Linked DNA regions of Drosophila melanogaster. The protein of the gene in region 1 interacts with the protein of each later gene in a pairwise test. Each region holds a gene or a part of one and is shown on either strand. Other genes may lie near its edges.

Region 1 (3,135 bases):
CATAAATCGCCGCAGTTGTATCGTGCCAAAGCACGCGCCACAAGCAATTAAAGCTCTTACAATCATTTACGATCAGAAACTGACAATGTTTACCCTTATCTACTTTATGCAAACATTTTTATTGTAAAACGTTTAAAAATTATGTCCAGGCAAGAAAATTTTCTATTAATGCGATGACCGCTTTTATGGAACTCAAGTTATGTTTCTTTTTAAAATGAAGAAAAATATTCTTTCTACCGTCCTATTTAGCATAATATTATATTCCAAGATTTACAATTACAAAAAGAATTCATACATTTTTGGACATCTATTTTTACGTACATTTTTTTTTTAATTTCACCATTATTTATAAATGTTAATATAATGTCTTCCGATCCAAAGATAATTTTGTGCCGCGTAGAAGTTATGAAATCCAGAGCTCTCGATAATATTTGACTATTGCTTGCATTCTATAACCAAGCAAAGCTGCACTCTTTTCTTTGAATGAACTCTGTTTTACAAGTCATTCATTCTTTGACATATGTTTACAGTTCAGATCCCCGATCACGTAGGTCTCAAACACGACAGGTGACACTGTCAGATCTCCAAAGACTTCCAGTAAATAACGCAAAACACCCAAGTAGAACGAGCAATAGTTTTGGCTAATATATTTTATTTACGTGTAGCCACGATATTTATGCAACTCTTGCAGGCTAGTCAAGGCATTTGTTTGGATTCCGTTTCCGATTTCGATTTCCGAGTGCGGTTCAGCGGCGGTGGTGGCCTTGGCCAAATTGCCACCCATGACCACGAATCCGATGCCGGCGCCCGCCTTGTAGCTCAGCTCATGGTAGCCAGCCTCATCGTAGTAGGAGTACTTGCCCAAAACATTTCCCGCCTCATCGGTGTGCTGGGCATGCGACATCTGGTCGGTGCTGAAATCAAAGTTTTGCTGGCTTTGCCGGTGCTTCAGGTGGTTGGTCGATGCTAATTGGTAGCCCGCACTCAGCGAAGATGTTGCCACTGCTAGGTTATCCTGTGTATTGTAGGAAATCCGGGAAAGTGGATTCTGTCTTGTCCTCAGAGATTGATGCACAAAGTTCAGCGGACCAAAGGAATCCAGAGAAGATGCCCCAAAACTAGGCTTAACGACACTCCTATCCAATCTATCGCCATCCGTGTTGTAGGAGTATCCTTGTCCATTGAACTGCATATACACTTGCGCTCCTTGAGCACAGGAAACTATCAGCGAAGCAATGAAAAGCACCAACATCATGTTCAAGTCTCAGAAACAACTAAACTCCGAGCATGCTAAGTCATGGGGTTATATGTGGATTCAAGGAAACCGCAATGTGCAGATTAACCTGCTTATACCCGGATCCACGGATATCAAATAACTATTCGCTAGAGATACAGATACAGTTTGAGATACAGATACAGGCAAAAAATGTATTCCGCTTTAAATACTGTTTTAGTTTCCATGTGGAGTCAACCCAGTTTCGGTTACTCAACACTGATCACTTAGAGCTACGCACTACAAACTACAGATCTACAGATCCAATGGGTGCTTAGTGCTCCCTTGAGGCATTCAGCTCGGCGATCTCATCCTGACGCAGTGCCTCCGACGGCGAAAGTCCGATCCTTCCGCCCAAGGGTATTATGTCGATGTTCTGGACATGGGCACGCACACTTTGACCAGGCGGCAGGCCCACGTACCATTTACCCACGTTCTTGATGACGGTGGAGTCGCGGTGTCGCTGCACCCACTCCCGATCCCTGTCGATCTCTAGAATTCGGTGGTTGGCGGTGACCAGAGGAGGCAGTGAACTGCCCACATCGTCATCGTTGAGGTGGTAATTGTCCCCGGGTCCGCTCATGGCACTGGTGCCCGATCCACCTGTGGGCGGCAGGTAGCCCAGGCCGGAGTCGCCTTCCCTGGAGGCTCCAGCTCCACCTCCTCGACGACTGCTTCCACCACCGGCAGCACCTCCCCTTCCTGCTCCCCGCTCAGAGGAGACACTTACTCCACCAACGCCGCCGAATCGGTTTCTGTTTCGGGACCCACTAACATTGTTTCTCGTGGAGCTACCTGAACCACCTCTCTGAGAGCTGTCACCTCCGGCATCGTATCTAGTACTGCCCCGTTGCGGACTACCCGCAGGGAACCCTCTTCTGTCTTCTTTGCCATTAAAGTTGGTGGAACCAGAGGAGCTGCTGCCAAGCCCAATGTCATCCCCTTGGTCATCAGCATGGTGTCCCAGATTTTCATCAGCTGCCCCAGCATCACCATCTCCACGATTCCTATCTCTTGCTCCATCAGCCGGCTTTAGGTAATCTTTGCCTCCGGGTCTGCTTGGAGTACGGCCCCTTCCCGCTCCACCTGCACCACCACTTGGCCCCGAAGCTCCTACCGAAACACTTCCCCCACCTGATCCACCACCACCTCCCTTCGGACCTAAGCCACCACCAGCACCCCTGCCAAAATCATTAGCCAGTCGGAAATCTGGATCTGTCAAACGAAAATCAGCCACAGAGGGATTGTTATGGGTTCCAGGACCAATCCGATTTTGCACCACCCGGTAGCCAATTCCTGCTCCAGCTATATACTCCACTGTCCGCTGCACGCCCTTGTCGTCCAGGAAGGAGTAGGTTCCTCGCACCAGGCCATCGGGTGCTCGACTTTCTGCCCGTCGGTGATCCGAACCTGAGGCGATCAGCTTATAGCTTCCAGCCGGCCCCCTTTGCACAGACATCTTGCCGCGTGCTTTGGGATGGGACGTGTACAGAGGACTGGAGTACGCCACAACAGATGGGCTGTCCGGCACAGCGTTGGAGATCTCGAATCCGGTTCCGGCTCCAGCTGCATAACGAACACTGTGCCGCTCGCCCACGTCGTCCAAATAGGAGTACAGACCTGGGATAGAATCAGTTAATATACTCTTAAGTACCATACTCGCTAAACTCGCCTCTTATCCTATTCCCGGAATCATTCTCCTCGCTGCGCGACTGATCCGGAGTGCGAAAACTAAAGCTGTAGGATGGATCGTCGAAGGGATCGGCCAGCGGATCGTCCGGACTTCCCCGCGGCAGTACCGGATACTGAGCCAGGTCCATTTTCCGATGGATTTTCGGTCCGTTCACGCGAAATCTATGTGG
Region 2 (8,096 bases), on another chromosome or scaffold:
AAACAGACAATTTCATTTGGAATTTAACGCTTTTGTTTAGTTATTATTGTTTTTATGGTTTCGGCTTTAGTTCAATTATTTAAGCACTCTAGTTCAAATTTTAAAGATAACCAACGAACAAGCAAACGAAAAATGTGCATTATAATCTAAAAACGTGAGGAACCATGTCATTTAAATTTAAGAGGCCGATCCCGAAATCAGACCCCTTAATCATTTGTAGATGATAAGCAGAACAAAAAATGGCTAAAAACAAAAAAAAAAAAAGAAAACAAATATCACACAAAAACAAACACGCTCATTAATTTCATCCATAAAACTTTATTTATAAGATCTATCGTTTAAGAGTTGAAAGTTGTAAACTTCTGCTAGGTACAATTTACGCTTATTATTTGTTTATTTTTATGTAATCCGTAACCGAACAACAAGGCACCGAAACGCAAATGCAAACAAGAAAACAAATATTTTACCATGTAATGATTATTATTTAAGCAAAGCTTATTTTTGCATCAAAAAAGGCAATATTATTGAACAAAGACCATCAATTTTAAATATACATTAATACACGACGAAAAAGAACTGAAATTCCTGGAATTTTTATCATTCAAATGGCGCCAAATGCGCATTATGTGCGGGATTTCGGTACTCTATGGGTTTTCACAGAATTAACAACTTGAAATTGGCGCGCAAAGCGAGTAGTTGCACTTTGTAAATGTCAGAGGGCGCTGTGTCCGTAAAAAATTGAGTATAACAGCGGCGACTTTTTGGCAGACTGTTATACGAAAATTTGTATGTCACTTTATATTTCTTTAAATTAGAGATGGACACGTGATGCTTTTTTTTTTAAACCCACGCATACGATATACAAATACTCTTTTAAATTTGTTAACTTGTTCTATAAATTGAAGGCAAAGCCTAACACTTTCCGAAAATCGGCTTATGATAATCGAATTTCAGTAAATAAAGCAGATTATTTTCGTTTATAGCTTATGTTCCAATTCCCTTTCACACCCATTTCAATTTCTCCTTAAAACTATCAAATCTTTAATCCTCAAAAAAAGTGTGGATGAAAGCCAAACGAGGTTTGTGGCAATTAGCCAAAGGCAGGGCCCTAGCCGCAGTAATATTTCGAGTTACATGCCATTTTCCATGCCAAATTAACCCTCTGAAGACTGGCATGTAGTAAATATAATAAATTATAATTAGCAATTCAAATAATCAAAGTTAATTCGAACCAACAAGTAAATGTATAAATAAAACATTCAAAATTTGATAAATACTTTAATCGGTGACCTAGATATGAGGCTTTCCCCAAAGGGTTAACCCGCTAAAGCCCCTCCTGTGAGCCCGCATGCTGCGTTTGTCTGTCCGTCTGCACTTGGTTTATTATGGTTTGTTTTTTGCCACTTTTTGTGGCCCCTTATCTTCGGCGCTTCCGCCACGGGGGGTGGTCCAAAAGTAGGGGGTGTTTCAGGTTGAGTGACTGGGTGAACTCTAGGGTCGAGTGGCTCAAGTGCCCAGTGGCATACGAAATAGAAAGAAATGGGTTAATCAGCGCAATTAGGGTCAAAAACACGTAGTGACATCGCTGCGTATGTGTGCAGCGTGAATCAAAATTGCGCATACGCCGGGTAAGCCCTGCCATTATTTCATTGCAATCGCCCGCTGTGCGTTTCGTGTGGGTCACACATGTGCTGTTTTTTTCTTCCTTTTTTATTGTTTTTTTTACCTCCTTTGCTTGGCTGTTCAACTACATTGCATGCTCTACGATAGAACTAGCATACTGAATCTGCGATTCTCTGCGCCGACGCAAAGCAGCGTTTCAATCTCTAAGCCGTCGACGTTTCACTGGCTCTCCATTTCTCGGCTTTCGGCTTTTCCATCTGTATGGGTGAGCGGTGTAACCACGGGCTATCGTATAAGATAAAAGCGCCGTGCTCAGTAAACTTTAGATTCGCGTCGACCGTCGAACAGGTCGCACTCCTGCGTGTGTTTTTTTCGCTTTTCTGTGGCTGTGACTGAGGCTCTGGCAACGGTTGGTCCCAACAATCTTTGTGTGTCAAGCACCTCGAGAGTGCAGCTTGAACGGAATTGAATCGCAAAAAAAAAAAAAAAAGAAAAGAACGCCAGATTTGACCCCGAAATCACGAGACAAGTACAACTACGCACTCGAAACAAGTGCCGAAAAAAGGAATAGAGTGACACAAGTGTGTTAAGAACACAAACCAAAAGAATATATGTACATACATATACCCAAAGCCAAGAAAAAACAAGTTTAAGTGCTGAACTGTGCACCATAAATAATGTGTTGTCAAAAATAATTCCATTACGTCTTCTTAGTGAATATTTTTTATATTAAAACTGTCCTCTGTTAAGACAAAAGTCCGCAAATCCAGGAAGAAATTATAAATTAGAAAGAAATTATCAATTAGAAAGAAATTATCAATTAGAAAGAAATTATCAATGTGCATATTAAGAAGTTTTTTGAACTCATTGTATTAAATTATAATTACCTTTAAAATACCTTTCACATGTATTAGCACTTCAAAGCACTTTTACTTGCTTTATTGACTTTGAAATTATTCAATGTTCTGGAAGCTAGTTTCTTGACCGCTGCTGTACTTACTCCCAGTTAACTCGAAGGGATCAATTGATGGGTCAATGTCACAGCAGCACGTGTTTGAAATTTTTTGAGAAATCACAACAAGTTAACAATTGTATTTAATTCAATTTCAAGCGGGCAGTTTTATTGTCTTTCGATTCGGGAATTTATTTTCACGTTTTCTTCCTGTATTTCCTGTATTTAATTAAAACACTAAAACAATGAATTCAATGAACTTTTATTGATCAGAACTATTTATTGATACTTACCTGATCAAAAACATATATTAGATTATACTTTCTCTATGCGGACCCAATCTACATTTGGTTATCATATGATAATCTGCAAAGTTCATTGACCCGCATTTACATTTATTTATATGCAACCAAAGAACCCAGAAAGCCAAACCAAGAGAACAACTTTTGCATAATTAAGAGTGAAGCTGAAAGAAGTCCAGAAAAATAAAAACCAGCAGCAGGGATTGCAATCTGGTTAATCCAGTACAGTACAAGAACCTTTGCAGGTTTCCTTCTTAGCTCCCTTGGGATATTCCGTATGGAATAGATACCCAGTTACTACGTCAAGGTATTCAAGTGTTAAAGTGTGCGTGCTTACTTAACAAAATAGTTAAACGTTGTACAAAAAGTTCAAAAGCCGAAGTGAAGGCGTGGGAATATAGTTGATGAGTATAATAAACTAACTTTGAAGGCAACCAAGATTTATAGATGTTTTTTAGGCATAGTATTAAAAAGTAAACTTATATTTATGATATACAACTATAGATATTAAAACAAACAGACCAGTTTCTCTTAGTTCCCATGTGCAGTTAACGGCAGAATATTTATTCTTTACTCGATCAGCTGATCAACTACAAATATTCCGATTTCATTTGGTACCCCTGGCAAGGGCCATAGTTAATCAACTACATATATATAGTATGTACATTTATCAGGTAGCCAGCGCATAATGCCAATTGTGAGGAGAGTTTCAATCGGGTTTCATTGGCCCAGACCTTAATACGTGCCCGGCATAACGATCCTAACATAATAAATAAAACAATTTGCATTAATTTGAAGTAAATCAGCGAAACCGCATAGGCAGCAAAAAGCGCGGTGCGAATTATACAGTGGACATCAGTCAACCATTGTGTTTTGTTCAAAAAAAAATAATTGTTTATCATTAACTGGGCGAGAGAAAGCGAAGCCCAAGTTTTGAATAAATTGTATTCAAATTGATTACACTTTAAGTAGAATTATCCGAGTTTTCTGTTAGTGGATACCCACTGTTTATGATTTGGCAAAGTGATTTGGTTAATTGCTTTAGTTTGCTCTGATTGAGCGCCCCGCTAATAAGTGATTCGCCTTCCGCTCTTCCCCACAGTTTTGGTAATGAAGTGGTTTCTGCTGTTCGTGGCGGCCCTTGGCCTGGGATTAGCCACCGCCGACTCATCCGCCGACTCCATCGAGACCACCTACAACTACTACCGCCTGCCCACATCGCTGCGCCCGCAGAAGTACCATCTCCGCATTCTGACACTGCTGGAGAATCCGGAGGACCTGCGTTTTTCCGGTTCCGTAAAGATCCTGATCGAAGCCCTGGAAAACACCAAGAACGTAACGCTGCACTCCAAGAATCTGACCATCGATGAGTCCCAGATCACCCTGCGCCAGATCGGCGGAGAGGGCAAGAAGGAGAACTGCGTGTCCTCCACGGCGGTGAATCCATCCCATGACTTCTACATCCTCAACACCTGCCAGGAACTTTTGGCCGGCAACACCTACGAGTTGTACATGCCCTTCGCCGCCGACCTGAACCGACAACTTGAGGGCTATTACCGCAGCTCCTACAAGGATCCCGTGGCCAATCTTACCAAGTGCGTTTGCAGACTTTTATGAAGACATAGAGCCAGGTATTGATGGGTTATTTCCTATTGCAGATGGATCTCGGTTACCCAGTTTGAACCGGCATCGGCTCGATTGGCCTTCCCCTGCTTTGATGAGCCCGATTTCAAGGCTCCTTTCGTGGTTACCCTTGGATATCATAAGAAGTATACGGCTATAAGCAACATGCCCGAGAAGGAAACCAAGCCACAGTTAGTCATCACATAACATTCAGAACTTTCCACAGAGACTTCATTAACTTTATTCTTCCAGTGAAACCCTCGCCGACTACATATGGTGCGAGTTCCAGGAGTCGGTGCCCATGTCCACCTACCTGGTTGCCTACTCCGTGAACGATTTCTCGCACAAGCCCTCCACCCTGCCAAATAGCGCTCTATTCCGAACTTGGGCCAGACCCAATGCCATCGATCAGTGCGACTATGCCGCTCAGTTCGGACCCAAAGTGTTGCAATACTATGAGCAGTTCTTCGGCATCAAGTTCCCGCTACCCAAGATCGATCAGATTGCAGTGCCCGATTTCAGTGCCGGCGCCATGGAGAACTGGGGTCTGGTGACCTACAGGGAGATTGCCCTGCTCTACTCGGCGGCACACTCCTCGCTGGCGGATAAGCAACGAGTGGCCAGCGTGGTGGCTCATGAGTTGGCGCACCAGTGGTTTGGTAACCTGGTCACCATGAAGTGGTGGACCGACCTGTGGCTGAACGAGGGATTCGCCACCTATGTGGCCAGTTTGGGTGTGGAGAATATCAATCCGGAATGGCGTTCCATGGAGCAGGAGTCGCTGTCCAATCTGCTGACCATTTTCCGCAGAGACGCCCTGGAGAGCAGCCATCCCATCTCGAGACCCATCCAAATGGTGTCGGAGATCTCGGAGAGCTTCGATCAGATCTCATACCAGAAGGGCTCCACGGTGCTGCGCATGATGCACTTGTTCCTGGGCGAGGAGTCCTTCCGCTCCGGTCTGCAGGCCTATCTGCAGAAGTTCTCCTACAAGAATGCTGAGCAGGACAATCTCTGGGAGTCGCTCACCCAGGCAGCTCACAAGTATCGATCTCTGCCCAAGAGCTATGACATCAAGAGCATCATGGACTCATGGACCCTGCAAACTGGGTAGGTCCTTGCAGGATAAGCTTGTTAAGAATGACCACTAAATATCCTTTCTCTGACAGCTACCCTGTGATCAACGTGACGCGAGACTACGCTGCCAGGACGGCCAAGCTCAACCAGGAGCGCTATCTCCTGAACACCCAGGTAGCCCGAGCTTATCGCGGCGGTTGCTGGTGGGTGCCACTGAGTTACACCACACAGGCGGTGCAGGACTTCAACAACACGGCACCCAAGGCCTGGATGGAGTGCGGCAAGAATGGCGAGAGCCTGCCCAAGACCATTCAGGACCTGCCAGGACCCGATCAGTGGGTGATCTTTAACACGCAGCTCTCGACGCTGTACAAGGTCAACTACGATGCCCAGAACTGGAAGCTTCTTATTGAGACCTTGACCAATGGAGATTTCGAACGCATTCACGTGATCAACCGAGCTCAGCTGATCGACGATGCCCTATATCTGGCCTGGACCGGCGAACAGGACTACGAGATCGCCATGAGACTGATCGAGTATCTGCAGCGGGAGCGGGAGTATTTGCCCTGGAAGTCGGCCTTCGAGAATCTGAAGCGTGTGGGCCGCATTGTCCGCCAGACACCCGATTTCGAGTTCTTCAAGGTGGGTTCTGGTCTCTTAAAGTATCCTAATGCTCTTCTACCACGTGCTCCCCGTATAATCTCATTCTCATTTGTATTTCGAAACAATCCTTTCAAAATTGCTCACACCTAACTTCATCTATACACCTAACTTGTCATGGGCAACCCACCGACAGTTGTTCTTTGTCGTAAGTCTGACTAGATAGCACTAGATATTTTATAATTTGACAAATGCCGGGTATATGAACTTTTATTAAAGTCCTTTTAAATGAATTTATTCATCCTCAATGCAGCGCTACATGAAGAAGCTGATTCTGCCGATCTACGAGCACCTGAATGGCATCAACGACACATTCAGCGCGATTCCGCAGCAGGATCAGGTGCTGCTGAAGACAATGGTGGTCAACTGGGCGTGTCAGTACCAGGTGGGCGATTGTGTGCCCCAGGCCCTGGCCTACTACCGCAACTGGCGAGCGGAGGCTAATCCCGACGAGAAGAATCCGGTTCCGATCAACGTTCGTAGCACTGTGTACTGCACCTCCATAAAGCACGGATCCGATTCGGATTGGGAATTCCTGTGGACGCGTTACAAGAAGTCGAATGTGGCGGCTGAGAAGCGCACCATTCTGACTGCTTTGGGTTGTTCGAGGGAAGTGTGGCTGCTGCAGCGTTATCTGGAGCTGACCTTTGACCCCAAGGAGGCCATTCGCAAGCAGGACTCGATGTGGGCCTTCCAAGCGGTGGCCTTCAATGAGGTGGGCTTCCTGCTGGCCAAAAAGTATTTCATGGACAACGTCGACTTCATCTACAAGTTGTAAGTTTTCGCATCTGTGATGGATAGAACCTCGGCTAAGGGTTTCTGTTTTTTTTTTTTTTAGCTACCATCCGCTCACCAAGGACATGTCCCGCCTACTCTCACCGCTTTCCGAGCAGGTCATCACGCTGAGCGACTTCAACGAGTTCAAGGACTTCGTGAACAACTCCCGTCAGTCGCTGAAGGGATTGGAACAGGCCATCCAACAGACACTGGAGATCATGCTCACCAATGTTCAGTGGAAGGAGCGAAACTACCATCAGATGTCCCGCTCCATCCAGCAACTGCTCTAGATTACCCAGCTCCCAGTCCAGCCTCTCATCAGCTCACTAAGAGAAGCAACTCTTGATTTCAGCAGGAATGTTATGAATGTTTAAAGTCGCTTAAATAAACTATTTAATACTCTAGTATTCGTGTATCTCAAGATGAAAGTCTTTTCATTTCTGAATTGGAAGTGGATATATAAAGAATGGGAGGTGAAAGACCTTTTAAATTATTTCCTAATAGCAAGTAGTAATGGTTAAATTCACTTTCTGCGGCTAATATAGCGTAAAATCAAGCTATTAAGATTGAAGACTAACATAGTATGCATTGTAATGAATTTCATACAAAATATATATATTTTTTAATTTTAAATACCAGACCGGATTCTTTCTTATACATCTCGAAAAAGACATTTTAAAATAATTGCAATATTAACTATATACTGCGAGTAATGGGATGTAAAATAACGTATACGCCGGGTAAGCCGCACTCTGTTTTGCAGCTGATAATAATATGATACTCTGAGCTGCTAATTTTCCAAATTAGTCTCGCTTTTCGACCTCTCTGAAAATATTGCTCTCTGAAAATCAGAAACTCAGTTCGATCGTAGAACTAGACGCATTCGGTCACCATCCTCTGGTGAGATCAGTAGTGCCACTAGTTGCTATCGGTTAGTTTTTTCTAAGCAAACCAATTTGTTGTTAAATCGTGAAACACGTTCTAAATGTAATGCCAAATAACTAAAGTGATTCGATTGTGTGTCTATGAATGGTTGAACTTTGATTTAAGACTGTGTCTGTGGTTAAGCTGTTTCTAATAAT
Region 3 (4,084 bases), on another chromosome or scaffold:
GTGGGAGTGGCAGCTTTAGGCGCTTTTAGGGCGTTAGAGTGGACGTGGCAACCAATTTATTTTTGCAAAACGATAGAAATTTACAAGACTAATAATAATGTAAAAAATTAATTAATTAATAATTATAAAAAAATTAATGTAAAATATAATTTTATAGTTCCTGAATCTTGACGTTCATACGGACAGACGGACATGGCCAGATCGACTCGGCTATTGATCCTGATCAAGAATATAAATACTTTATATGGTCAGAAACGCTCCCCCCCACTGCCTGTTACTTTTTAACGAATCTAGTATGCCCTTATACTCTACGAGTAACGGGTTATTAAAAAAGGGTTATTATTTGCATTTCAAATAATTCAAATACTGAAAGCTAATATAATTTCCAAAAGAAAAATACTAAAGCCTCAATGCATTTATATACAAACGCGTAGCTCTTATTTGTTTACGACTCGTTCAGTTGTCAATAGCAACGCAACGCATAGTAAGAAAGTATTACTTTGTTACAATCGCAATAAGATGGAAGAACTTCAAAAAGTTGGTGTGTTTATAGATGAAATTTACACGGTGCGAGTTGAGCATCCAAACCTTTCCAGTAGCAAAATAATGTTTAAACAAGAATGCTTCAACTACATTAAAGCATTCACTATTTTTAAAAAGTTTGTGTTTAATTATTGTAATATTTCTGAAACGTTTGCCAAAGATGTCGATAAGGAAAAACTACGCGCTATTGGTACTCAAAATCAATTAAAAACGGCATTTATTCAGCGCCAGAACAAGCAGCAAGTCTATCAATATGAGATATTTGAGCAAACAGTAGAACTTGAACGCTTAAAAGGCGAATTGCAGTTTTTACAGCGAATTGAAACGGAGCAACATGAAATAATAAACAATTTTTTTGTCAATCAATATTAAAATTAAATCTACGTATTTGTAGACGTTTTTCTTATTTTGTTGATATTCTTACGATAACATGTAAGACTACATAATGGAACATTTGTTGTTGAACAATTATATGTCTTGCGATTTTCACAACCGCTTACAAAGCACACCTGTGAAGGAGGAGGTGTACGAGGGAGTTGAACTTTTAAAGGATATTCGTAACCTGGGGGAACTATTACATAGTTGCCAGTTACAGCACTTATATAGGTTATTTTTGGATAAGAGGGCTGTTGTAAAGACTTATTGCGAATTGAAATCCGATCCCTGTTGGTTGCCTGTTTTTTTAACAACCGCTCCATTGTCTTTAATTTATCTTTTTCTCTGCGTTCGTCAGCTTGTTGTTTTCGTTTTTGAGATTTCAGAAGAGCTTTATGAATTTCCTCCGCAGTCTGCGGCTTTTCCTTTTCTTTATAACCACTTGGAAGAGCAATTAGCTCTTCTATAAATCCATTTATTTCGGAGTCCTGTGTCCGTTCATAAATAGCACGTTGACGTGCTGTCATAAGTTTGGGGTCCTTTATCTTTTTAAGTTCCTCATCAACAACGTCTAGTTTCCCGGTTTCTATGGCGGTAAGCCACCGATCCTCTTCACTGGACGTATCACTGTTGCGTCGTCTTTTACCTTTTTTAGCACCCGTGTGAGGCAAACTGTCATCATGTGCCAATTTTTTTGTGCTAATATTTCTCGTGCGTCTAAGAGGATGTTCATGAATATTTGAATTAGATGCAAGCGCATCTGTAGTGTAATGAAGTTCTTTAGGTCTCAACGAATTTGAAATAGACTCAGCAGATAAGTACTCTGCATCCTTAGAACCTATGAATAAAAAATGTTACTTTTTAAGATGTAACGTTTGGTGATTGATATAAATTACCTTCTTTCACCATTTCAATTGAAATACACTCGTCCTGTAGCAGCGGCCAATATTTTTGTTTGTTATGCTTAATTTTTTCAAATGTCCAAAAATTGCATTGGTCATACATCCACTACGATGCTTATAGCCTAATTCCACAAATGACATCCTTATTAAACGGCTGGGAAAATCGTGCAATCTCTCTGGCCACATAGTATAATGATTTTAAACTTATAATGATTATAATTATAATAATAATAATTATAATAATAATACTAAAAAAAATTTGAATTGTGCACAATATATTTTTGTATTCCCCTTCCTAAATGCATTTAAGCAATTCACAGAATACATAGCAAAACCATGGTTAGCGGTTGTGTTGAACCGATAACCGATGAAACTGAATAGTAACTAAATATCGTTCCTGATGTCGAGACTCCAATCTATGTGCACTTATGCACGCGAATTCAAATTCTGCATGAAAAGCGCATAAGTTGATAAATGAATAATGGATAAAGTTTAATAAAATTACAAATTATTTGAATTTTTGGTCGGGTAATGTTTAATGTTTTTTATGTTAGTGTCATTACAATCGATATGTTCGATTATTTTACTAAACTTTATATATATATATACTATACTATACTATATATATACTGTTTGTCAAGAAACTGTTTACACACCGTGAAATAAGTTGAATTTTTAACTTTAAAGGTCAAAATTAAGGGTTATTTGTTTAATTAAACGCAATTTTTTTATGAAATATAATTAAACAATATTTATTTTACTTATAAATTAAAAAACAAATTCAAAATATCAAATATACAAGAAAATAAACAACAAATTTCAAGTTTACACACTTTTGAGAGTGTAAAGAAACTATTTACACAAAACACTAAACCTAAGTTTAATCATAAATTTTTTAATTATTTTGTTAATATTTGAAAATTTTTAGTATTTAGTATGACCCCCATTGGCTTTGGCTACAAGTTGAAGCCTTTTTTTCATGGAATGGATGAGTTTTTTTAGGTCATATTCAAGCGGGATCTTTTCCCACTCTTCGACTATCGCAGCAATGAGATGTTGCCGTGTTTTGGGGCACCTTTTTGCCACCTTCTTCTTTAAGTAGGTCCACAAATTTTCAATGGGGTTCAGATCAGGACTCTGAGGGGGCGTATCGATCACCTTGCCACAGTTATAAAGTAGCCAGTTGCGTACATTGTACTCTTTATGTTTGGGATCATTGTCGTGATAAAACTTAAAATTTGGCTTGTTGTTGCTAAATAGACCACATTTTTCTGCACTGGCCTTCAAATTTGTTTCTAAAATATCTAGATATTGCACGGCATTCATAGTGCTTTCAATAAAGGCTAATTTGCCCACTCCATGGCTGGAAATACAGCCCCAAATAATCACTGACAATTTTCCAAATTTGATTGTTGGTATGATATTTTGTTTTTCTAGCGCACTCAACGGTTTGCGCCATACTCTGCTTGGCCCGTCGTTATAAAAGAGCATCATATTTGTTTCGTCACAAAATATGACGTCATCCCAGTACTCTTCCGCATGATCTATCATGCTGAATGACGCTTTTCAATATTGACCTCTGATAGCAAAGGCATTTTTCTTGCAACTCTTGAAGAGTACCTATGGTAGTAGGATAACGTGGTGCACAGTTTCGTGTGACACAGTTAGGTGATATTCTTCCCTGATATCCTGAGCAAGTGATCTGACCGAGATTCGGGGGTTCGCAATCACTTTTAAGGCAGTCTACTCGCTTGTTAATTTTGGTTTTCCGCCCATTACCACTCTTAGGTTCAAGCCTGCCCTCTTTTTCCGCACGATTTAAAATATTATAGACGGTCTTAGGTTGCCGTCTCTTGTTCGTTTGCATCCCTCGACTTCTCCTCCACAGGCAAAGTCCACCGATTTCTTTATGATGAATGGTGAAATTCTTTCGAAAGAGTTGTTGTCTTTCCTTTTGATAATTATAAATTTAGGTTCACCTAATTGCGATGGTATGTTTTTGAAGTAATTTTGTAAATGTTTGGTGGGTCTGTCATGATTGTTGGTTAAGAGCTTGAGCCCGGGTTGGCGGTATTGTTGTTGGTTTTATTTTATTTTCTCTTTGTGGTTGATATTTGTTTATCAAGATTTTGCTGATAAGGGTTTTGGGCTTACGCGAAGCCGGGCTTTAAACTGGGTGGCACGACTTATCTCTTCGGAGGTTGAAGTGGTACTGTTGTTTTGCATTATATTCATTGCCTCGTTTCTGTTTTTTTTTTATATCG

Evidence for each region. Proteins that work in one complex are often made in the same cells at the same time.
Region 2: the proteins of CG13022 (region 1) and SP1029 interact in a two-hybrid assay, tested with the Drosophila melanogaster proteins (one large-scale study listed by BioGRID).
Region 3: the proteins of CG13022 (region 1) and CG10395 interact in a two-hybrid assay, tested with the Drosophila melanogaster proteins (one large-scale study listed by BioGRID).

The regions. Positions count from the first base shown.
Region 1 is NT_037436.4:16,937,691-16,940,825, forward strand, and holds CG13022 (uncharacterized protein), read right to left. Parts: upstream 1,263-3,135; 5' UTR 1,253-1,262; coding exon 656-1,252; 3' UTR 640-655; downstream 1-639. Other genes in the region: Cpr73D (cuticular protein 73D), read right to left, coding at 1,548-2,893, 2,946-3,127.
Region 2 is NT_033777.3:29,244,298-29,252,393, reverse strand, and holds SP1029 (SP1029), read left to right. Parts: upstream 1-1,942; 5' UTR 1,943-2,032; exon of another isoform or gene 2,033-2,204; intron 2,205-2,889; 5' UTR 2,890-3,184; intron 3,185-3,489; exon of another isoform or gene 3,490-3,711; intron 3,712-3,979; 5' UTR 3,980-3,987; coding exon 3,988-4,472; intron 4,473-4,535; coding exon 4,536-4,691; intron 4,692-4,752; coding exon 4,753-5,610; intron 5,611-5,669; coding exon 5,670-6,219; intron 6,220-6,490; coding exon 6,491-7,011; intron 7,012-7,075; coding exon 7,076-7,304; 3' UTR 7,305-7,433; downstream 7,434-8,096.
Region 3 is NT_033778.4:5,348,552-5,352,635, reverse strand, and holds CG10395 (uncharacterized protein), read right to left. Parts: upstream 2,160-4,084; 5' UTR 1,828-2,159; coding exon 1,815-1,827; intron 1,757-1,814; coding exon 924-1,756; 3' UTR 916-923; downstream 1-915. Other genes in the region: IFT20 (intraflagellar transport 20), read left to right, coding at 520-915.